3 linked regions of the Stegostoma tigrinum genome follow. The protein of the gene in region 3 binds, or shares a complex with, the protein of the main gene of each other region. Links are inferred from orthologs where the notes say so. Each region holds a gene or a part of one and is shown on either strand. Other genes may lie near its edges.

Region 1 (8,102 bases), on a different chromosome or scaffold from region 3:
TCTTGAGCCTGGGTCTCCTGGCCCTGTGAGACTGACACTACCACTGCTAACGCAAGGCTCCAAGGAAACCAATGAAGTGAAACTCGGAGTTTTTATGTTGCTATTCATGGTTCTTTATTCCATACGTCCGTCCAGGACAAGACTCACCCAAAGCTGCTTAATTCGAGAATGGCAGCCAGCACTGCAGACCATGTATGTGCACTGAGGGAGCGGGCACCGTCGGAGGGTCAGCGCCGAGGGAGCGGGCACCGTCGGAGGGTCAGCGCCGAGGGAGCGGGCACCGTCGGAGGGTCAGCGCCGAGGGAGCGGGCACCGGAGGGTCAGCGCCGAGGGAGCGGGCACCGGAGGGTCAGCGCCGAGGGAGCGGGCACCGGAGGGTCAGCGCCGAGGGAGCGGGCACCGTCGGAGGGTCAGCGCCGAGGGAGCGGGCACCGTCGGAGGGTCAGCGCCGAGGGAGCGGGCGCCGGAGGGTCAGTGCTGAGGGAGCGGGCGCTGTCCGGGGGTCAGTGCTGAGGGATCGGGCGCTGTCAGAGGGTCAGTGCTGAGGGAGCGGGCGCTGTCAGAGGGTCAGTGCTGAGGGAGCGGGCGCAGTCGGAGGGTCAGCGCCGAGGGAGCGGGCACCGTCGGAAGGTCAGCGCCGAGGGAGCGGGCACCGTCAGAGGGTCAGCGCCAAGGGAGCGGGCGCTGTCAGAGGGTCAGTGCTGAAGGAGCGGGCGCTGTCAGAGGGTCAGTGCCGAGGGAGTGGGCGCTGTCAGAGGGTCAGTGCCGAGGGATCGGGCGCTGTCAGAGGGTCAGTGCTGAGGGAGCGGGCGCTGTCAGAGGGTCAGTGCTGAGGGAGCGGGCGCTGTCAGAGGGTCAGTGCCGAGGGAGCGGGCGCTGTCAGAGGGTCAGCGCCGAGGGAGCGGGCGCTGTCAGAGGGTCAGTGCTGAGGGAGCGGGCGCAGTCGGAGGGTCAGCGCCGAGGGAGCGGGCACCGTCGGAAGGTCAGCGCCGAGGGAGCGGGCACCGTCAGAGGGTCAGCGCCAAGGGAGCGGGCGCTGTCAGAGGGTCAGTGCTGAAGGAGCGGGCGCTGTCAGAGGGTCAGTGCCGAGGGAGTGGGCGCTGTCAGAGGGTCAGTGCCGAGGGAGCGGGCGCTGTCGGAGGGTCAGTGCAGAGGGAGCGGGCACTGTTGGAGGGTCAGTGTTGAGGGAGCGGGCGCTGTCGGAGGGTCAGTGCTGAGGGAGCGGGCACTGTCGGAGGGTCAGTGCTGAGGGAGGGGGCGCTGTCGGAGGGTCAGTGCTGAGGGAGCGGGCGCTGTCGGAGGGTCAGTGCTGAGGGAGCGGGCGCTGTCGGAGGGTGAGTGTTGAAGGGGTTGGGTAGCGTTGTGCTTTCCCCTGGTTGTAAATGTGTGTGAGGGTCACCAATGGTGTTGTTGTTGCGGGGGGGGGGGTTGGGTGGTGAAGAAAATTTGTTCGCTCTCCCATCACGGGATGAGGGTGATGCTCGCACGGCAGCATTTATTGCCCCATCCCTAATTGCCCGGTGGCCTGGGGGGGGGGGGTGCAATTAACCATCAACCACATTGCTATGGGTCTGGAATCACACATTTGGGCCAGACCAGGTCAGGATGGTCGCTTCCTTCCCGAAAGGACATGAAGGAACCAGTTGGGTTTTTCCAACAAGGGATTCATCATTATAACACACAACAGCACAGGCCCTTCGGCCCACAAGGCTGTGCTGTATTTTTACCCTGTCCCAAAGGTGTATCTCACCTCCACCCCTACCTTGTGCTTTCGTCAGTTAGATTCTGAATTCCAAATATTTTATTGGATTCAAATTCCACCATCTGCCGTGGGCGGTCTTCGAATCCAGGTCCCCGGAACGTCTCCCGGATCCACAGTCCCGCGATAATCCCGCATGCACGCTTGGAGACTGGATTATTTCTCTGAACAATGTCGTGGGTATGGGGGAGGGCTCTGATCAATCGATAACTGGTTTATCGGAGATAACTGATCCTGACGACCGAGGTCAGAAGTCATCAATCCACCTGATCAGTGCAATCTGATGGTGAAACCCTGTAAAACCATAAAACAGTTTGCACAAAGGCAGGGCTCACCAACAACAGGTTTGCAAACCTCCTACCACTGTAGAAGGAGGACAGATGTTGAACTGACCTCTCCCTGTTGTTTTTGAAGTGTGCCATGAGTCCTGTGGCTCTCGGGTCAAAGACCGTTGATGTCTCTCACTGCCGCCCGACCTCCTGCGGTTCCCCAGCGTCTGCGTGTTGACTCGGAGCAGGCCATTTGGCCCCCTCGAGCCCCAGCGGTTTGAGGCGATCGTCACTGCGGCGAATTCCATGATCCCTCCGACTCCTGGCCTGAGAGGAAATCCCGTCCCCGTGAGGTCCAAAGCCTCCGACAGAAGCGGATGCCCTCGTCTCCGCCCCGTCATGTCGCCGTGGCCCCCTCGCTCAGGACCGACCCACAATCGGAAAAGTCCAGTCCACGTCCAGAGGGGGAGAGGTGGGATGCTGGTTGCAGAGTCGGTGCGGACTGGATGGGCCGAATAGCCTTCCGCGGTGATTGTCTGAGCAAACATTCTGCCTAATCACAATAGCCATATTTCACACGGCCTTTCGACTGAACAATAAATAGTTACACTGAGGTAAATTAGAAAGAACATAAGAATCTGAAAAAAATACCGTGCAACTTCACAGAGACACGGGGAGAATGTGCAAACTCCACACAGACAGTCGCCCAAGGGTGGGATCAAACCCAGGTCCTTGGCGCAGTGAGGCTGTTGCGCTAACCACTGAGCCACTCCAGCACAGGGTAATAAAAAGATAACTGTGCCATTAACTGCTACTTTGGCTCCTTCTTGCTTTCTGCGGCAGGGAATTCCACAGCCCCCTGCTCTCACGTATTCGCCTCAGGGAAAGATGCTGCAAATCAGAAGCAATCATGGAAATCACTGGCAAAAATCAGCTGGTCTGGCAGTATCTGTGGATGGGTTAATGTTTCGCGCCTCTTGGGAAATTCGAAAGACGGGCCACTGGACCCAAACATGCCAACTCTGCTTTCTCTCGTAGAAAGCATCTGGTCCAATGCATCACAGCTTCGGATAGTAACTGCTCTGCCCAAGGTCATAACAGACAGACATACACACAGACAGACACACAGAGGCAGACACACAGCAACAGACATACAGAGACACACACAGACATACACACAGCGACAGACATACAGAGACACACACACATACAGACACACAGAGACATACACACAACGACAGGCATACAAAGACACACACAGCGACAGGCATACAGAGACACACACAGACATACAGACAGCGACAGACATACAGAGACACACACAGACATACACACAGCGACAGACATACAGAGACACACACAGCGACAGACATACAGAGACACACAGAGACATACACACAGCGACAGGCATACAGAGACACACACAGACATACACACAGCGACAGACATACAGACACACAGAGACATACACACAACGACAGGCATACAAAGACACACACAGCGACAGGCATACAGAGACACACACAGACATACAGACAGCGACAGACATACAGAGACACACACAGACATACACACAGTGACAGGCATACAGAGACACACACAGACATACACACAGAGACAGACACACAGAAACAGACATACTGAGACACACACAGACATACACACAGTGACAGACATACAGAGACACACAGAGACATACACACAGAGACAGACACACAGAAACAGACATACTGAGACACACACAGGCATATACACAGAAACAGACATACTGAGACACCAAGACATACAGAGACACATACACAGATGTACAGAGGCACAGAAACAGATGGAGACAGATATAGACACCACACCGACATTTACACAGACTTACAGAATAATGGACACATACAGAGACACACAGAGACAGGCAGCGATGGACTATAGTATGTGAGAGGTTCATAAATCTGATATCAGCAGGGAAGAAGCAGCTCTTGAATCTGTTGGTATATCTTTTCAAACTTTTGTATCTTCTTTCGGCAGTAGAGGATGGGAGGGAATATAACTGGGTGGGAGGGGGTCTTTGATGATGTTAGGTGCTTTCCCAAGGGCAGTGGGAAGTGTAGACTGAGTCAACAGATGGGAGGCTGGTTTGTGTGATGGGCTGGGCCACTGTCTGTAATTTCTCGTGATCTTGGGAAGAGCAGTTTACAGACAGGATGCTTTCTATGGTGCATCTGTAAAAATTGGTGAGTGCCCTTGTGGATATGTTAGTCTGTCTTCATTTAACCCTTTCGGACAATGCGGCATTACTGGTATCTCTTTTGTCACTTACTACCCCTTGAGCTGGATGCCTGGCACACACAGTTTCAGGGGAGGTGACCCCACCGTTGCCAATGGGTCTGGAGTCACGTGTAAGACTTGGTCTGGTTTGGGAGGGGGACGGTGGAAGAATTAATTACCCATTTACGAACATGATTGCGCAGTATGTACGTGGGGATGAGTGCTGGGGGTGATGCCTCATCCAGTCGAATAGCCAACCGAGGGTTGTACAGGTTTGAGTGCGGACAACTGGATTCTTTCACAAAAAGCAACTCAGGACCTGAGGAAGGATTTTCTTAAATAAAATTAAAATCACCCCTCATTGATTCATCCCAAACCCCTCACTGAAATAAGTAGCCAATAGGGAAGTGGTGTTTCTCGATCGACGTTCTCCGGGATCGATCGTCACGTCCTGGAGGACCAGTGGGAGGAAGACGCGCAGGCGCGACCGAGCGCACTCCGAGCGGCTCGAACGGAGAAGCAGGAGACGGCGGCGCCATGAGCCTGGCGGAGAACCGGCCGTCGAGGAAAAATGCCGGTAACCGCATGTCGCGGCTGCTGGAGGCCGAGGAGGACGATGACTTCTACATGACGACCTACGGGGGTTTCCATGAGGTGAAGGAGAAAGAGGGACTTTAAAAGAAGAGGGAGAGCTCGCCCAAGGTGGCGGGAGGCCGCCGCCATCTTGGAAGGGACAAGCGGGCGCAACCGAGCTTGCTGTCTGGGGGGCGGGGCCACTTCGGGAAACGCCTCCCATCTCAGCCGCCATTGGGCTTAGTTCCTATCGGTTACTATGTCTTGTGTCATCATTGGCTGCCGCCGCTGTCAATCAGCGCTGTGCCACTTACCTGCACTGGGGAGATTTTTTCAGATGCTTCAAATAGACCTTTCGGCCCAACCAGTCCATGCTGACCCGCCTATCCTAAAGTAATCTAGTCCGAAATAGAGCCATACAGTCAGGAAACAGACCCTTTGGCATAACCAGCCCATGCTGATCCCCTATCGTGAATTAACCTAGTCCCATAAAGTGTCATACAGCGTGGAACTAGCCCCTTCAGCCCAACCAGTCCATGCTGACCTCCTATCCTAAATTAATCTCGTCACATGTGGGGTTTCAAAGCGTGGAAACAGACACTTCAGCCCATCTTGTCCGTACTGACCTGCTTTGCTAAATTAATCTAGTCCCGTTCTCTCAAAGTAAGCTTGCAGGTTGAGTCAGTAGTAAGCAAGGCTAATGCAATGTTGGCATTTATTTTCAGAGAACTTGAATTTAAAAGCAGGGATGTACTACTGAGGCTTTATAAGGCTGTGGTCAGGCTACATTTGGAGTATTGTGTGCAGTTTTGGGCCCAATATCTCGGGGAAGATGTACTGGCCCTGGAGTGGGTTGAGAGGAGGGTCAGAAGAATGGTCCCAGGAATGAAAAGCTTAACATATAAGGAACATTTGAGGACTCTGGGACAATACCCGTTGGAGTTTAGGAGGATGAGGGGGTTCTAATTGAACCTTATATAATAATGAATGGCCTGGACAGAGTGGATGTTGTGTAGATGTTTTCATTTGTAGGAGAGACTAGGACCTGAGGGCACAGCCTTAGAGTAAAGGGAAGACCTGTCAGAACGGAGATAAGAGAGAAGCTTCTTCAGCCAGAGAGTGGTGAATCTATGGAATTCACTGCCACAGAAGGCTGTGGAGGCCAAGCCATTGAGCACATTTAATACTGAGATAGATAGGTTCTTGATTATCAAGGGTTACGGGGAGAATGTTGTTGAAGAACTTATCAGCCACGATTGAATGGCGGAGTGGACTTGATGAGCCGAATGGCCCAATTTCTGCTCCTGTCTTATGGTCATATACGATCATACAGTCAGGAAACAGATCCTTCGGCCCAACCAGTCCATGCTGACCGGATATCCTAAATGAATCTAGTCCCATCTGCCAACATTTGGCCCGTATCCTCCTAAACCTTCCCAATTCATGTACCCCTCCAGATGCCAGGGAGTGTGTTAGAAGCAGCAATACGATGATCCAAACCCTAGAAAATTAAACGGTGTGATTGTAATCTAATCCCTAGTCTTGCACATTTTCCAAATCAATGCAGTTTTTGATCCTGGATGGATTTTAATGAAAGTTGACATTAATAACAGGGGGATTGAGTTTAAGAGTCGTGAGATCTTGTTGCAGCTCTATAAAACTTTGGTTGGACCGCACTTGGAGTGCTGCGTCCGGTTCTGGGCGCCCTATTGTAGGAGGGATGTGGATGCTTTGGGGAGGGTTCAGAGGAGGTTTACCAGGATGCTGCCTGGACTGGAGGGCTTATCTTATGAAGAGAGGTTGACTGAGCTCGGTCTCTTTTCATTGGAGAAAAGGAGGAGGAGAGGGAACCTAATTGAGGTATACAAGATAGTGAGAGGCATAGATAGAGTTGATAGCCAGAGACTATTTCCCAGGGCAGAAATGGCTAGCACGAGGGGTCATAGTTTTAGGCTGGTTGGTGGAAAGTATAGAGGGGATGTCAGAGGCAGGTTCTTTACGCAGAGAGTTGTGAGAGCATGGAATGCGTTGCCAGCAGCAGTTGTGGAAGCAAGGTCATTGGGGTCATTTAAGAGACTGCTGGACATGTATATGGTCACAGAAATTTGAGGGTGCATACATGAGGATCAATGGTCGGCACAACATTGTGGGCTGAAGGGCCTGTTCTGTGCTGTACTGTTCTATGTTCTATGTTCTAAGATACTGGAAACCCAAAACAAAAGCTGAAGTTTGCTGTAGAAACCCAGCAAGTCTGGTGGAAGGAGAGAGAACAGAGGTAACGTTTCGAGTTTTACTAGAGATTTGCCGGGATGTTGCTTGGAATGAAGGGTTTAAGTTATGGCGAGAGGCTGGGACCTTTTTTCCTCTGGAGTGTAGGAGGTTGTGGGCTGACCTTACAGAGGTTTATAAAATCATGAGAGGCACGGACAGGGTGAAAAGTTTTTCCCTAGACTGGGGGAATTTCAAAACCAGGCAGAATTTTTTAAGGTGAGAGGAGAAAGATTGAAAACAAGACATGAGGGGCAATTTTTTTTACACAGAGAGTGGTTTGTATGTAGAATGAACTTCCAGAGGATGCGGAGTGCAGCCACAGTTACAACGTTTAAAAGACATTTGGGTAAGTACAGGAATAGGAACGGTTTGGAGAGACATGAGCCAAACACAGGCACGTGAGACTAGTTTAGCTTGGGGGAAACCTGGTCAGTGTGGATTAGTTGGGCTGAAGAGTCTGCTTCTGTGTTGTTTGACTCTAATTATATCTAACTCCTTCTTGGAGACATTTAATGGTGAGGTGTCTTCTGGAGCACTGTGTCTAGTTCTGGTTGCCCTGCAAAACGAATGATATTAATTTGAGAGGGTTCAGAAAATATTTATGAGAACCTGGAGTGAACTGCCCGGGGAAATGGTTAATGCAGGTACCGTTAAGAATATTTAAAAGACATTTGGATAAGTACATGAATAAGAAGTGTTTGGAGGGATATGGGCCAGGAGCAGGCAGGTGGGACTAGTTTAGTTTGGGATTATAGTCGGCATGGACAGGTTGGACCGAAGGGTCTGTTTCAGTGTGGTATGACTCCAGTGACCCACTTTACCCTTCTCACCAGACTTTAACATTAAATTCATTAAATGTGTTTTCCTTACTGCCAGACCTGCTGGTTTTCCCTGGAAATTTCCCTCTTTCTTTTCCTACACTCCAAAATGCTATTATGCACAACTGAGCGACCTTCCCACCATCAAAATTA
Region 2 (8,147 bases), on a different chromosome or scaffold from region 3:
GTCAACTACCTCACCCACAACCCAAGCTACAAATCTTTGCAAGAACCTTAAGTTACAATAAACATCTAAGTTGGAATATATTAAGGTAAAGGAAACACAAGTAAATTATTGAGGATAAAGGAAAAGAAGGAAAATAATTTGCATTTATAAAGCTGCACAAAGCGGTATGGTGGCTCAGTGGTCAGCACTACAGCCTCACAGCACCAGGGACCCGGGTTCGATTCCAGCCTCAGGTAACTGTCTGTGTGGAGTTTGCACATTCTCCCTGTGTCTGCGTGGGTTTCCTCCAGGTGCTCTGGTTTCCTCCCACAGTCCAAAGATTTGCAGGCTAGGTGGACTGGCCATGCTAAATTGCACGTAGTATTCAGGGGTGCATTATTGGGGAAACCAAGCGGAGGCTTGGGGACCGCTTTGCAGAACACCTCCGCTCAGTTCGCAACAAACAACTGCACCTCCCAGTCGCAAACCATTTCCACTCCCCCTCCCATTCTCTTGATGACATGTCCATCATGGGCCTCCTGCACTGCCACAATGATGCCACCCGAAGGTTGCAGGAACAGCAACTCATATTCCGCCTGGGAACCCTGCAGCCATATGGTATCAATGTGGACTTCACCAGTTTCAAAATCTCCCCTTCCCCCACTGCATCCCTCAACCAGCCCAGTTCATCCCCTCCCCCCACTGCACCACACAACCAGCCCAGCTCTTCCCCCCCACCCACTGCATCCCAAAACCAGTCCAACCTGTCTCTGCCTCCCTAACCGGTTCTTCCTCTCACCCATCCCTTCCTCCCACCCCAAGCCGCACCCCCAGCTACCTACTAACCTCATCCCACCTCCTTGACCTGTCCGTCTTCCCTGGACTGACCTATCCCCTCCCTACCTCCCCACCCACACCTTCTCCACCTATCTTCTTTACTCTCCATCTTCGGTCCGCCTCCCCCTCTCTCCCTATTTATTCCAGTTCCCTCCCCCCATCCCCCTCTCTGATGAAGGGTCTAGGCCCGAAACGTCAGCTTTTGTGCTCCTGAGATGCTGCTTGGCCTGCTGTGTTCATCCAGCCTCACATTTTGTTGTCTTGGAGTCTCCAGCATCTGCAGTTCCCATTATCTCTGATAGTATTCAGGGGTGTATGGGTTATAGGGGGATGGGTCTGGGTGGGATACATCAAGGGGTGGTGTGGATTTGTTGGGCTGAAGGGCCTGTTTCCACACTGTAGGGAATCTAATCTAATCTTAAAAAAAACCTCAGGAGAGATTAAATCCCACATTATAAAGACAAAATGAAGTATGTTAAAAAAAAATGCACATCGAAATGGCTAAACGATATAAAAGCAAAATACTGAACTTGCTGGAAATCTGAAATTAAAGCAGAAAGTGCTGAAAACATGTTAGTATCATCTGTGCAGAGCAAAAACAAGTTGTTCTGAGTTGATTATGACCCATTTTCAGTCAATGAAAAGTCATATTCCAGTTGGAATGTTTACTATCTTCATAAGAAATACGAAATATTGAAATATATCACATTAACAGATGTGCAGGTGAACATCTGTTTGACGTGGAAAGGGGCAGGTGTAGCACGTGCTTCGCTTGCAGGGAAACGTGCCGTGGATGTTGGAGCTGGAGGCGAGTGTGGAGCGGACAAAGGAGTCATGGAGACAGTGATCCCTCCACAAAGCACGTAAGGGTGGGGAGGGAAAAGTGTCTTTGGTAGTGGGGTCAGATTGCAGATGGTGGAAATGTCGGAGGCTGATGCGTTGGATTTGGAGCTTGGGCCCATGAGGGTACCCATGGCCTTTGTCTGTACACCGCAGTTCATCCCTCTCCCGCTGCAACCCTCTTATACTTTCTTCGGCCCTGAAACTGCTCGACCCTATCCTAAAGCAAACTAATAATTATATCTCCCACTTCCTACAGACAGAGGGTGGCCATGGGTACAGGCATGGGCCCAAGCTATGCCTGCCTCTTTGTAGGGTACATGGAATAATCCCTCTTCCAAAGCTACTATCCCCCATCTCTTCCTCCGTTACATTGATGACAGTTTCAGCACCGCCTCATGTTCCCACGAGGAGCTTGAGCAGTTCATTCACTTCGCTAACACCTTCCACCCCAACCATAAATTTACCTGGACAATCTCTGACACCTCTCTCTCCTTCCTGGACCTCTCTGTCTCCATCTCTGGCATCCAGCTGGAAAGCGATATCCATTTTAAGCCTACCAAATCCCACAACTACCTAGAACATTCCTCCTCTCACCCACCTTCCTGTAAAAAGGCCATCCACTATTCCCAATTCCTTCGCCTCCGCTGCATCTGCTCCTGAGACATTCCACTCCGAAACATCCCAGATGTCCTTTTGTTTTCAAGAACTGCAATTTCCCCTCCACAGTCATTGAAAATGCCCTCGACCATGTCTCCCGCATTTCCCGCAGCTCATCCCTCACACCCCCTATTCGCAATAATAACCAAAACAGAATCGCCCTCGTCCTCACGTACCACCCCACCAACCTCCAAATCCAAAGCATCGTCCTCCGACATTTCCGCATCTGCAATCTGACCCCACTACCAAAGACATTTTTCCCTCCCCACCCTTATCTGCTTTCCAGAGGGATCACTCTCTCCGTGACTCCCTTGTCCACTCCACACTCCCCTCCTACTCCACCAACCCCTGCACTTTTCCCTGCAAGCGAAGCAAGTGCTACACCTGCCCCTATACCGCCCCGCCACCCCCATCCCCAAGGAAGACTTTCCATATCAAGTAGATGGTCACCTGCACATCTGCTGAGGTGGTATACCGCATCCGTTGTTCCCGTTGTGGCCTCCTCTACATCAGGGAAACCAAGCTGAGGCATGGGGACCGTTTTGCGGGACACCTATGCTCAGTTCGCAACAAACAACTGCACCTCCCAGTCACGAACCATTTCAACTGCACCCCCACCACCCCCCCCAACTCCTCGGATGACATGTCCATCCTGGGCCTCCTGCATTTCCACGATGACGCCACCCAAAAGATGCAGGAACAGCATCTCATATTTCACATGGGAACCCTGCAGCCCAATGGTATCAACGTGGACTTCACAAGCTTCAAAATCTCCCCTTCCCCCACTGCATCCCAAAACCAGCCCAGTTCACCCACCTCCTTAACCTGTCCTTCCTCCCACCTCAAGCTCCACCCCCATCTCCTACCCACTAACCTCATCCCGTGTCCTTGACCTGTCCGTCCTCCCTGGACCAACCTATCCCTTCCCAAACTCCCCACCTACACTCACCTTTACTGGCTCTAACCCTGCCTCTCGACCTGTCTGTCTCCTCTCCACCTATCTTCTCCTTTATCCATCTTCTATCCGCCTCCTCCTCTCTCCCTATTTATTTCAGAATCCCCTTCCCCTCTCCCATTTCTGAAGAAGGGTCTCGACAGGAAACGTCAAACTTTCCTGCTCCTCTGATGTTGCTTGGCCTGCTGTGTTCATCCAGCTTCACACGGTGTTACATCAGATTCCCCAGCATTGGCAATTCCTACTATCTCTGAAATATTGAAACATGCTTTTCCCTTAAGTAGTAGGTTTTTGCACCAAGGTCACATTTCACAAATTTTCTAAGTAACTGGTTCAAAATAAGTCATTTATTGAGTAGGAAATGTGAGGTTCGATGACCGTGTCTTTAACCTCCGGTAAATTGAACGGGTTATATGATCTGTTCTGAAATCTGCCAGATGACAAGACAAGGTGACGCGGCTGTTAGAGATTAAATGTAATGAAAGTGGAGATAATTGCACGAATATATTTACAGTGACCGGTAGTTTCCCAAGTCCCTAAAAGATGTAAAGCAAGTCTGGCAGCATCCGTGGAGGGAAAAACGTTCGAGTTCAATATGACACTTCAGAACTCAACTATTGCATCTTGTAGTTCTTAAGACATATACTGGGCTCAAATATTAACTATTTGTGTTTCCAGAGATGCTGCCAGATTTGTTGAGTTTCTCCTGCATTCTCTATTTATTTTAAATTTCCAGCATCCGCAGTATTTTCGCTTTTACAAGATTACGAAAGGACTACTTAAAGAAGCTGTGTAAAGAATTTTTTTTAAAAAAAGTAGTTTCTAGGTCCTATAAAAAGTAAAACGGCATGTTTTACTGGCTACAAAAAAAGTGTTCACTCAATACTGTAGCGTATTTCTTCTGTTTGCCACAGTTAAAAAAATAAAAATGTGAAATCTCGAGTCAACCTTTCAGATATCAATCTGGTACTTCGAATTACTTTTTAGAAGTTGAGTCTTTACGGAGATCGTACCCAAAAAAAACTCTTAAAACACTACATTCATTTCAAGTTCAGCTGAAGAATGATGTGTTATGATCAAGATCAGCAAGGCTAGCAGTTGTAGGTACCCGATTGACTTTTTAAAAGGAGTTGAGCAGGGGACTGAACAAATTAGACATCCCTCTGATCAGAAGCTGCACCAACAGGATGGGGGTCTCTGTTATCTGATGCATCTTCTTGCTTCCGTGCAATGAATCAGTGAATGGAGAGATATTGCTGAGTTGCGTGGAAGTTGAGTACGGGATACATACAAATCAAAGAGAGCATCTTCCAGCCCCGCTCGCTCATGCCGCCGTGTAATCGGAAACGGGTCTTAAATTGTTTAAACCAAACGATCGAAACAATAATCAGAAAATAATAAGTGCACGTCGGAGCCGGCACAACTTGAACAACGAACCCCGCCTCACCCCAAATCATTCGTAGCCTCAATAATCGATCAGGGAGCTCAGGCTTAACTCGACTCAAGAAACACAGAGGCCGACGGCTGCCCGCCTCGAACAGAAAGACCTGGACTACATCTCCCAACATTACCTTGTTGTTGTGGGCGTGCCGAACCAGGAAAAACCGCGCCAACGAAACAGAAGGGCCGCCGGCCCACCAATCGGAGTGCGGAATTTGAGTGCGCGGGGCGGGGAGGGGCGGAGCCGAGGCGCCGGTGTTTTTATCTGCCATTCCCCATTTTTTTTAAACGAACGAGCGGCGCTGGTTTGAGACGCCATATTGGAACCATTTTAGGGGGGAAGGAAAAAAAACAACCATCCCTTTTTTAAAAAAAATCGTCCGGTTTTTTTTACAAAAACCATCCATACTCGAAATGTTGTACTTGGAGGATTACTTGGAAAGTGAGTATTGAGTGTAAGGCAGCGTGTACAGCTGGGATTGTTTCCCCCCCCCCCACCCCGGCAGGGCCGGGCGGAGCGAAGCGAAAAGGCACCATTAATGCTGTTGTTTTCCTCTCTCGACAGTGATCGAACAACTTCCCATGGATCTGCGCGACAGGTTTACGGAAATGAGGGAGATGGACCTACAAGTACAGAGTATGCAGAGCCACGTTAGTCATGTCAGAGGCACACAACTCACCCGTGTTTTTTTTTAAATGCCGGGACACTGCACTGAACATTCTTACAGCCACATTACGATACCCGCGACTTCTCTCCTTCCACCTTACCTCTTTCAGTTTCTTTTCAAAACAAATGCCTCTTGACCCAAAACCTAAATATTCCGCCTTTGCAACATTTGAAAAGATCCAGGAAATAAAAGTTTCAGCCAAAATAAAACCACCTTTAGTTTCAGTTACCGAGTCATTTTTGATAATATTCCGATAATTTGTTATAGTTACTTTTACTTTTTCAGCTCCTTTCCCTCCCTTTTCTGAGATCACTTATCTATTGCCACTCAATTGCAGAGTCATAGCAACGTACACCATAGCAACAGCGTCCATCACTTGGTCCAGCGCTAGGTGGCAACTTCTCTTCCCTTTTTAGCTGCACTTGGATTTCTTTTCCATAAACAATTAATTGTATAGACTTTGCGAATGTTTTCTTAAATTCCTTTAGTGAGACCATTATTGCACTCTGTGGCTCGGTCTGAAAATGTGTTTAAAAAAAACTGATCTCCCCATGCGACATCAGTCTTTGATGTCATTGTAACTGCTGATATCGTAGCAATTTCTCCGTGATAACCTTTAAAATGTTGAATTTCATTAACGTATTTTAAAACTATCTTTACTGTACATTTTCCACTTGTGCACACATATATTGAATAATGAAATACTTTAAAGTGGGGTACGAGAATGGTTTTCTAAGTTTTCAGTTTTTAATATTTGCATTCTTGTGTTATTCTGAATTGAAGTACAGAAATATATTAAAATAATTCATCTCTAGTTTTCTGTAAACATTAATCAATTAAAGTAAATCAAATAGAAATAATGCATTTTAAAATTTATCAGGGCAACCTAACAACTAAAATTAAGTAAAGTTGTTTTTAAAGGAGACTTGGCTTTCAATTATCTTTTATTGCTACAACAGGTACCAACCATAATTTCTCTGCTTCAAAACTTTGATCACCACTGCTTGGATTGGACCATTTTAATTTGATTTTATTTAGCACGTAAATTAGAAGTCTCATTTGAACATTTACACATGTATTAAATAAAAGTTTGTCCCTAGCTATGTTAGAAACTAGATATTCAGATTTATTTGGCAAAAAATATCACAGTAAACTCCTTAAAATGCAGTTATACAGCAAAATGAATTATGGCATTACATTTCAAAAGTAGAGAGTTATTTTGAAGATTTTTCTTTTTGACCAGCTTAATAAATTATATTTATAGCAATCTGCGGTATGTCACTGTGAACGTTTTTCAAATATCTCCATTATTAGTTAATTTCACCCCATTCCACCCGTAATGGAGAGTTTCTGGTGAGACAAAATTGAAATTGATGGCATTTTGTTATTAAAACACATCTACAAACAGTTATTAAGATTCTGACCAAATAAACCTTGTAGACTGCATGCAGTTACAAGCACTCAGCATTTTCAGTAATTTGCTGAGCATTGATATACATGGTTTACTAGGTAAGCATTAGTGAAAGTATCAGCCAAAACTAGGCTAAGAAAATCCATTAAAGTTAGTTGTGGAATTGCCCTTGCAGAGTAAATGCAATTTAAAATTTATCAGGACATTCTAGTAACTAAAAAGAAGTAAAATTGTTTTAGAGGAGACTTGGCTTCAGTTACCTTTATTGCTAGAACAGGTACCAACCATAATTTCTCTGCTTCATAACTTTGATCACCACTGCTTGAATTGAAGCATTTGAATTTGATTTATTTAGCACATTAATTCAAAGTCTCACTTGAACATTTTTATGTGTATTAAATAAAAGTTCATTCCTGGCTATGTTAGAAACTATACAATCAGAAAAAAAATCACAGTCAACTCCTTAAAATGCAGTTATATAGCAAAATGCAACTGATCTGTGTAAAGCTCATTTATCAGGAGCTTATGGAAGTGAAAAAGAAGCTTAAGGCAACAAGAAGACTTAACACTTAAAAATTTGAAATTGATTGTAACAATTTGAGCTACACAGATTTACTGTATATAAGGGCCATGCATTTTTTTATTGTGATCTGTTACAAATTTTAAAAACCAACTAATAGGCTTTTTGGACTATAATTTTTTCAGAATACCGACCTCTTTTTGAAGTTATTTCATTTATTAAGTTATTACGGTGCTATGTTTTCAGTCATTGTTGCTAACAATCCATTCAGTTGTTGATAAAACTTGCTAAGAACTCCGGTTGGTACGTATTCTAAATGTTGCCTTCCTGACAACAAATCTTTGCTACCTCCTGGTGTTTCTGAATTCTTTAAAGATTTACTTCATTTATCATTTAACACAGAATTGAATGCTGCAAATGGAGGATTTTAGTATCTGCAGGAGGACTGAATTGCCTTACTCGTCTATAATTTTCTTTTGATCCTGTTAAGTATCTTTTATACTTATTAAGTTTCTTTTCGGAAGCTCTCAAAACGTAAAGTGCAGGCAAGACAAAAGTGTGAGGAAAGAAATAAACGGTAATTCATATATGTGAAGGAAAACATTAAGAGGGAATATTAATAAAAATTGCACTGCTTTTGAATACAAATCACTATTGATCACAATTCCTAGGAGCCTTTCTATACATTGAAGAAGAAAATGCTTAGTGGCAGTAGGAACACTAAATGAATGCCGCATTACCTACTTGTCTCACATACACTCTATCTTATTTATTTCTAACTGAATCCCAATTGTGTTGACTAACCCTTGGTTGAAGTATTTTTGTGAATATAGTTGA
Region 3 (7,878 bases):
TGCCTTTAAGGCAGATGTCAATAGATTATTGCCAAGCATGAGGCGGAAAAGTCATCCTACAGTTTGATGCCACGTGGAGTCATCAGATCAGCCAAGATCTTCATCAATTGCTGAAAATGCTCAAGGGACTGAGTAGGCAATTCTTATTTATATGATCATATTTATACAAGGCAGAGCATAGAACAACATCCAAAGGCAGTTCAAAAACCGAACAAAGGCAAAATATTATCATCCTTGGATAAGCATATGGATGATGATGATGGGACAGTGTAGGGGGAGGGGCTTAGATTAGTTCACAGGTCGACGCAACATCTATGTTCTCTGTTCTATTAAGTACAGTAACCAAAAGCTAGTGTGAAAACAGTCAGAATTTAAGATGGGCAGACAGCATAGTAATGGATGATTTGGGGAGGGAATTCCAGGACGTGTTGCACATTCAACTCAAAACACAGATAACACAGTGTGGAGCTGGAGGAAAACAGCATGCCAGGCAGCATCAGAGGAGCAGGCAAGTTGACGTTTTGGATCAGGACCCTTTTTCTATTATCCCTGACTCCAGCATCCGTAGTTCTTACTATCTCCAACTGAAAGCACAGCCAAGATACCTGAACAACCTAAACTAGTTGTTGAAACAAGGGAGACCCGGGAAAAAGAGAAGACACCACTTGGTATGCTAATTATTTCCAGTATTTTCTGTTTTCATATCTGAGAGAAATTGTGTTGTTAAAGGCCATGGGTCAGTTCTGATAGCCTTTCGCTTATGTAATTCAAAATCTCCAGACTCCTCAATTACAGAACCTCCTCGCAGCTACCCAGTCTTCTTCTTAGACAAACCCCTAGAATTAAGAATTAAACATAAATTCAAGAAAATTTTGGACTCAACAAGATCACCTCTCATTCTTCTTAACTATGGTGAGCACAGGTCCCATTCTACTCCATTTCTCCACATTTCATCCGAGGGTGCAATCGAGCAAACAGTTGTGCAGCCTTCTATAGCAAGGAATTCAAAATTCAATACATCTGTACATCAGAATTACAGTTTGAGATGATATATAGGATGCACTGTATGTGTTCAGTAACTGTAAATTTGGTCACTGCTGTAGTGCAAATATTATTTTTGGACTTATAAAAAACTCATTTGCAGGACATGTTGGATAAGCCAAGATTTATTACCAACTCCTAACTGCCCTCAAGAAAGTGGTAGTGAGTTGTCTTTGTGAAATACTTATTTGGAACACCCACTGTGTTGTTACAGGGTGAATTCCCAGATTTTAACCCTGTTACAGTGAAGAAACAACAATGTATTTTGAAGTCTGGATGATGTGTGGCATGGAGGGGATCTTGCAAATGATGGTGTTCCCGCATACCTGCTGCCACCGTCATTCTGGTTTGGAGATTTGAAGGTGTTATCCAAGGAGCCTTGGCAAGTTACTGCAGTGCATCTGGAAGATGGTACACACTGCTGCAGTTTCTCTGCAGTGGTGAATACAGAGTGAATGTAGAAGGTGTGAGAATTGACATGCCAATCAAAAAACTGCTTTGTCCTGAATGGTGTTAACCTTCCTGAGTGTTTTTCGGAGTTTCACCCATCCTACCAAGTGGACAGTATTTCATTACACGCCTGACTCAATAGCACTGTCGATAACACCTTCCATTATTCTGTTGATACAAAATAAACTGATGGATTGATAAATGGCCTGGTTGATTTGTCTTGCTTTTTGTGGACACGATATGGTTGTACAATTTTCCACATTGACATGTATTTGTCACTGTTCTAAATGTGCCGAACAAGCTTGCCTAATGACGTGGTTAGTTCTGGAGCTCATCTTCAGTACTTTTTGAGAATGTTAACACAGTCCACAGCCTTTCCAGAATCCAGCATCATCAGCTATTTCTTGATATCGTAAAGTCTATCAAATTGGTTGAAGACCAGCATCAGCAATGTTGGGGACATCAGGAGAAGGTAGAGGTGGATCTTCTGACTGAACAGGGTGCAAATGCTTCAGTCTTTTCATTTGTGCTGACGTGCTGGACTCCTCCATTATTAAAGATGAAGTCATTCAGAGCTTCTCCTTTTTTTGGTATTCATTGACGGGAAGAGGGCATTGCTGGCTAGGCCTGCATTTATTGCCCATCACTAATTGAGGTTGAGAGTCAACCACATTGCTGTAGAGCTGGAGTCACATGTAGGGAGCTTCCTTCCCTAAAGTACATTACTAAATCAAAAGGGTTTTCTCGATAATTCACAATGATTTCATGGTTATTACCGCGCTATTAATTCCAATTTTTTAAATTGAATTCAAATTCCACAATCTGCCACGGCAGGATTTGAACCTAGGTCCCCAGGATGTTAGCTGGGTCTCTGGATTAACAGTTCAGCAATAACACCATTAGGCCATTGTCTCACCTTATAGTGAGTTGTTTTGTTATTCATCATTGGATGTGGTCAGACTGCAAAGCTTAGATCAGATTTGTTCATTATGGGATAACTCACTGTTTGGCATGTAAATAATCCTGTGTTTACGTTACTGGGTGAGTGACAGAGAATGGTAACATGAGAGATGAGCGGATGGAACTAAAGAAGATGGTCAAAACCAACGCAATTGCCAGTTCAGTAGCAAGGCAGGCCAACATGCGATTTGGTGTCATAATGAAACCCAAGTCTTCATCCACTGTGACAAAGTGTGGAACTGGATGAACACACACGCCAAGCAGCATCTTAGGAGCACAAAAGCTGACGTTTCGGGCCTAGACCCTTCATCACACCCTCTTCTGACACTCTTTCTCTCTGATGAAAGGTCTAGGCTCAAAACGTCAGCTTTTGTGCTCCTGAGATGCTGCTTGGCCTGCTGTGTTCATCCAGCTTCACACCTTGTTATCTTGGATTCTCCAGCATCTGCAGTTCCCATTATCTCTTCATCCACTATACCTGGCTCACTCAGTATGGTAAGCTAACCACACATCACTGGAAGATTTGAATATTATCAATCTGATGTTTTAAACTACAAATACTTGGCAGATACTCCATGAAAATCCAACAAACACAAATGGCTGTGAATCTACACCAATTGTCAACATGGTTTAAATTACATAATTCTATTCACAGAGGAAAATGCTACACTCTCAAATTCTGCAAAGTTTTCTCAATGGCAACTCCAAGATGATTTATTCCTCACAGAATGCAGTACATAGAAGAACATGTGCACCTTGCTCGTTTTGTTTCCACATATAGAGACGTACAGCACAGAAACAGATCCTTCGCTCCAACCAGTCCAGGCGAACATAACCCCAAACTAAACAAGGCCCACCTGCCTGCTCCTGGCCCATATCCCTCCACACCTTTCCTACTCACGTACTTATCCAAATGTCTTTTAAATGTTGTGATTGTACCCACATCCGCCACTTCCTCAGGAGGTTCATTCCACACAGGAGCCACCCTTTGTCTAAAAACATCTACCTCATTTTTTTCAATCTCTCTCCTCTCAACTTAAAAATGTGCCCCCGGGCCAGGGTGAAGGCGCCGCCGCTTTTCATTCTCCATCGGGATGGCTCCCGCTGAGATCTCTCAACCGAACCTCCGCTTCCCCCAGTCCTCATTGGACCAATGCTTCAGACTAAAGCCCACCTCCTCCTTGAAAATGCCCATCCTAGGGGAAAAACAACTACCATTAACTCTATCTATACCTCTCATTACTTCAGTCAGATTGCCAGTCAACCTTCTACATTCCAGTGAAGGATGTCCCAGCCTATCCTGCCTTTCTTTACAACCCAACTTCCACACCCAGCAACACCTGGCAAATCTCTTCTGACCGTCTCCGCTTGATAATATCCTTCCTATAACTGGGCGACCAGAACTGGACACACTGCTCCAGAAGAGGCCTGACCAATGTCCTGTACAACCTCAACATGATTTCCCAACTCTTATACTCAAAGAAGCGAGCAATGACTTTTTCAGAAAACATAACCCTTTTAGGAAAAAGTCCCAATATCTTTTTTCTCTGGAACAAAACAACATGCAGGCCATTAGGTTCCTAACATCTTAACTCAGATTTTTACAAAAAGCAGAGTTCGCATGTTAAGATCTTAACCGGTTTCTGGTAAACAGTGTTATAAAGGTTACTTTAAATTTTCTTGGTTATTCTGGTCCATTAAGGAAGAATTCACTAAGATTTTTGTCTTCAACCCACATCAATGTTGCGCTTATTCATGCAGATGACGTACAGGGGAACACTGTGCCAACACACGCCAGAAGATACTGCAAGGGAAATATATTACCGAAGCGTCGACACAACAGTCATCAATAAATACCCACACTTTATTTAAAAAATATATAACACACACAAGTTGGGCTTGTTTTGAAAACTAGGGCCCGTTGGGTTGTCATCGTATGCAATCAAACCTGCTAGCGTGCTGAGTGACAGGGCCACCGACCAATCAGGGTGCAGGCGGTAGAGGAGGTGGGCATTAGTCTGAAGCATTGGTCCAATGAGGACTGGGGGAAGCGGAGGTTCGGGTGAGAGATCTCAGCGGGAGCCATCCCGATGGAGAATGAAAAGCGGTGGCGCCCTCACCCTGGCCCGGGACACTCACTCACCTCCTCGGCGTGCTTCCGCAGGGCTTTCTCCCGCTCATACTGGGTGATGAGCTGCTCGTTATCCTCCCGCAATAGCTCCAGCTCCACCTCGTGCTCCTGGTTCTCGGCGAACATCGCGTCCAGGTTCTCCAGCACACCGACCACCAGCGGCATCAGGTCCTTCACCACATCTTCGTCGTACTTGCGGATCATCCTCTCGAACTCCCGGTAAATACTAGCCGCCAGGCCTGACACCCGCTCCGACATAACATTAGTGTTGGAGTCATCCTGGTAAACCACCCCATCATCCATTTCCATTTTCTTTAAATTATCAATATGCTGGGGAAAACATATAGACAAATCAATGATTTACGCCGGAGGAAGTTAAGGGAATAACCACCTATATTTCTCTTCAGCTCCTGCTGCTTTCTTCTCTCCGCCGCTCAGCCGTCTCCCGCTCCCTCCCTGTTGACGACGCCGCTCGGCTCGAGGCCACTGGCTCCAACCCCGCCCCCTCAGCGCGCTGCCCAGCCCCCACTGTGCGCGTTCCCGTTCGAGGGGCGCGGTCCCGCCCCGTCCAGGCTGCGCGCCCCCGCACGCCGGGCCGCCCCGATCAGGCACGGAACGTCGCGAGCTTCCACAAGTCATGTGATCCCGTCACATGCTCTTGCCGGGCTATAGATAGTGGGAGCTGCGGATGCTGCTGGGTGAGCTCAGCAGGCGCAGCGGCATCAGGGGAGTAGGAAGGCTGATGTTTTGGGTCTAGACCCTGAGGCCCGAAATGTCAGCTTTCCTGCTCCTCTGACACTGCTTGGCCTGCTGTGTTCACCCAGCTCTACGCTTTGTTATCTCTGCTCTCGGGCGAAAACGGGTAACTCTGTCTTCCTCCATGCAGCACTTTGTCCCATTACAGGGATTTTGTGATGATAGTTGACATCTATGAATGGTTAGGTCTTTTATTTTTTTTAAATACTTTGGACGCAAGGTTTCAGGGTCACAGACAAGATATCTCCTTGAATAAAATTGTTACGAACGTCAGAATTGCTAGTGAAAAAACATGCTTTTGTCTAGTTTATCTTCTACCAATCATGTAATACAGTACAATGGAGCTATTAACAAGTCAAAAATGATGCTTTCATAAACATGAGCTCCTCCAAAATCACACAAAAACAAGAACTGCAGATACTTTAAATCAGGAACTCCATTTCCTGCCTACTAACCTCATCCCACCTCCTTGACCTGTCCGTGTTCCCTGGTCAGACCTATCCCCTCCCCACCTATACTCTCCTCTCCACCTATCTTCTTTTCTCTTCATCTTCGGTCCACCTCCCCCCTCTCCCTATTTATTCCAGTTCCCTCCCCCCATCCCCCTCTCTGATGAAGGGTCTAGGCCCGCAACGTCAGCTTTTGTGCTCCTTAGATGCTGCTTGGCCTGCTGTGTTTATTCAGTTTCACACTTTATTATCTTGGATTCTCCAGCATCTGCAGTTCCCATTATCTCTGATACAAAAACAGAAGTTGCTGGAAGCTCAGCAGGTCTGTCTTGTAGAAGTGTCACTGGAGTGAAACGTTAACTTTGATTTTTTTTTCTTTGCAGGAGCTGCTAGACCTGCTGAGCTTCCAGCAACTTCTGTTTTTGTTCCTCAAAAACTGCTGTCCATATTTCTTTTGCTTATAGCTTAGATGGCAGCGTTCTTTTCTCTGAATGACAGTTATGGCTTGAAAGCTTCTTCGAGGACTTGAATACAAAAGCCAAAACAGATATTCCAATTTTGCGCCATCGGAAATGCCATGCTTTGAAGGACATAAAAATGAGGCCTCTGGTTAACGGAAGAGATCCTATGGAACTATGTCAAGTAAAAGCGAGTGGTGTTTTAGCATAAAATACTGGAAGTGGTTATAATGAAAGTTCATCACCCATATGCTGGTAGGCTCACTGAGTATTTCAAGTATTTTCTGTTTTTTATTTCACATTTCCTGTGTGTACAGATATGTGGGTTGAACATATGTTTTAATGTTAAATCAATGTAAATTACATTACATAATTCTAAACACTGCAAATGGACATGGAAACTTGGAGATTCATATGTATATATCTTTGACTTGAAAGGACGTATTGAGAGAGTAGATTTTAAAACATCATGCCTTCAAAGATTGTGATATTGAGTTTAAAATCACTGATATTATGGTGAATATTTATTTTTGCCTGGTTAGGCAATAAGTTCTGGCCATCATGCTTCAGGAAGGACTTGACAATCCTTGAAAGGGCGCACAGGAGATTTACCAGAATGGTTCAGTCAGAGAGAGAGAGTTTAGCTGCAAAATGAGTTTGGAGAAACAGAACTTGTTCTCCTTGGAGCAAAGGAGAGATTTGACAGAGGTACCCATGGTACGTAAAGAAAAAGAAGTTCGGGATTATATCAAATTAAAAGGAGAAAAATGTATAACATGGCAAAGATTGGTGGTAATCTAGAGGATTGGGAATGTTTTAGAAAATCAACAAAAGTCAACCGAAGATAATAGAGAAAAAACATAAACTTGGAGGGTTAACTTGCAAGTAATATCAAAACTTCTTTAAGTAAATAAAAATAAAGAGAGAAGCAGAAGGGAACACAGGCCCATTAAAGACTAAAGCTGGTGAAATAACAACGGGGAACCGGGAAAAGACAAAGTTGAGAAGTACTTTGCATCAGCACTCACAATACAAGACAATAACAACATTACAAAAGTACAAAGTTATCAAATGGCTAAGGTAATTAATGGGGCTAAAGAATAATAAGTTCCTTGACACGATAGGATACGTTGTGGAAATTAAAGGATGCATGTATAGAGATAGTAGATGCACTTGTAACCATCTTCCAGGAATCCTTCGATTCTGGGCAAGTCCCAGAGAATTAGAAAACTTTTAATGTAGCACCTTTTATTAAAAATGGGAAGAAGACCAAAAAAAGCTGTCTGCCAGTTACCTTTATATCTGACCTTGAAAAAATGTTAGAATCTGTTGTAAAGGATGTAATAGCAAAGCATTTAGAAATATATAATAAGATCAAAGCAGGATCAGCATGGCCTCAAAAAGGGGAAATCATACCTGACAAATTTACTGGAATTTTTTGAGGGGGTAACAAGCAGGATAGATAAAGGGAAAGTAGTGGATGTGATAAATATTTTGATTTTCAGAATAGGTTTGGTAACATCACGCACATCTGAAAAGCTAAGATCCCATGTGTTGGAAGAAGCACATTATAGAAAGAGGATTAAACTAATAGAAGACAAAGAATTGGGATGAGGAGGCATTACCAAGATGG

Evidence for each region.
Region 1: mbtd1 (region 3) and vps72b share a complex: the UniProt entries of both Homo sapiens proteins name them as parts of the nuA4 histone acetyltransferase complex. The link is inferred for Stegostoma tigrinum from reciprocal best matches to the Homo sapiens genes MBTD1 and VPS72.
Region 2: mbtd1 (region 3) and ing3 share a complex: the UniProt entries of both Homo sapiens proteins name them as parts of the nuA4 histone acetyltransferase complex. The link is inferred for Stegostoma tigrinum from reciprocal best matches to the Homo sapiens genes MBTD1 and ING3.

The regions. Positions count from the first base shown.
Region 1 is NC_081400.1:5,038,501-5,046,602, reverse strand, and holds the start of vps72b (vacuolar protein sorting-associated protein 72 homolog), read left to right. Parts: upstream 1-4,769; 5' UTR 4,770-4,824; coding exon 4,825-4,941; intron 4,942-8,102. UniProt on the Homo sapiens protein: Deposition-and-exchange histone chaperone specific for H2AZ1, specifically chaperones H2AZ1 and deposits it into nucleosomes.
Region 2 is NC_081371.1:36,896,284-36,904,430, forward strand, and holds the start of ing3 (inhibitor of growth protein 3), read left to right. Parts: upstream 1-4,885; 5' UTR 4,886-5,125; coding exon 5,126-5,153; intron 5,154-5,276; coding exon 5,277-5,348; intron 5,349-6,236; exon of another isoform or gene 6,237-7,794; intron 7,795-8,147. UniProt on the Homo sapiens protein: Component of the NuA4 histone acetyltransferase (HAT) complex which is involved in transcriptional activation of select genes principally by acetylation of nucleosomal histones H4 and H2A.
Region 3 is NC_081375.1:6,125,727-6,133,604, reverse strand, and holds the start of mbtd1 (MBT domain-containing protein 1), read left to right. Parts: upstream 1-4,508; 5' UTR 4,509-4,594; coding exon of another isoform or gene 4,595-4,891; exon of another isoform or gene 4,892-5,077; intron 5,078-6,170; 5' UTR 6,171-6,475; coding exon 6,476-6,500; intron 6,501-7,878. Other genes in the region: C-Jun-amino-terminal kinase-interacting protein 4, read right to left, coding at 4,595-4,891. UniProt on the Homo sapiens protein: Chromatin reader component of the NuA4 histone acetyltransferase complex, a multiprotein complex involved in transcriptional activation of select genes principally by acetylation of nucleosomal histones H4 and H2A.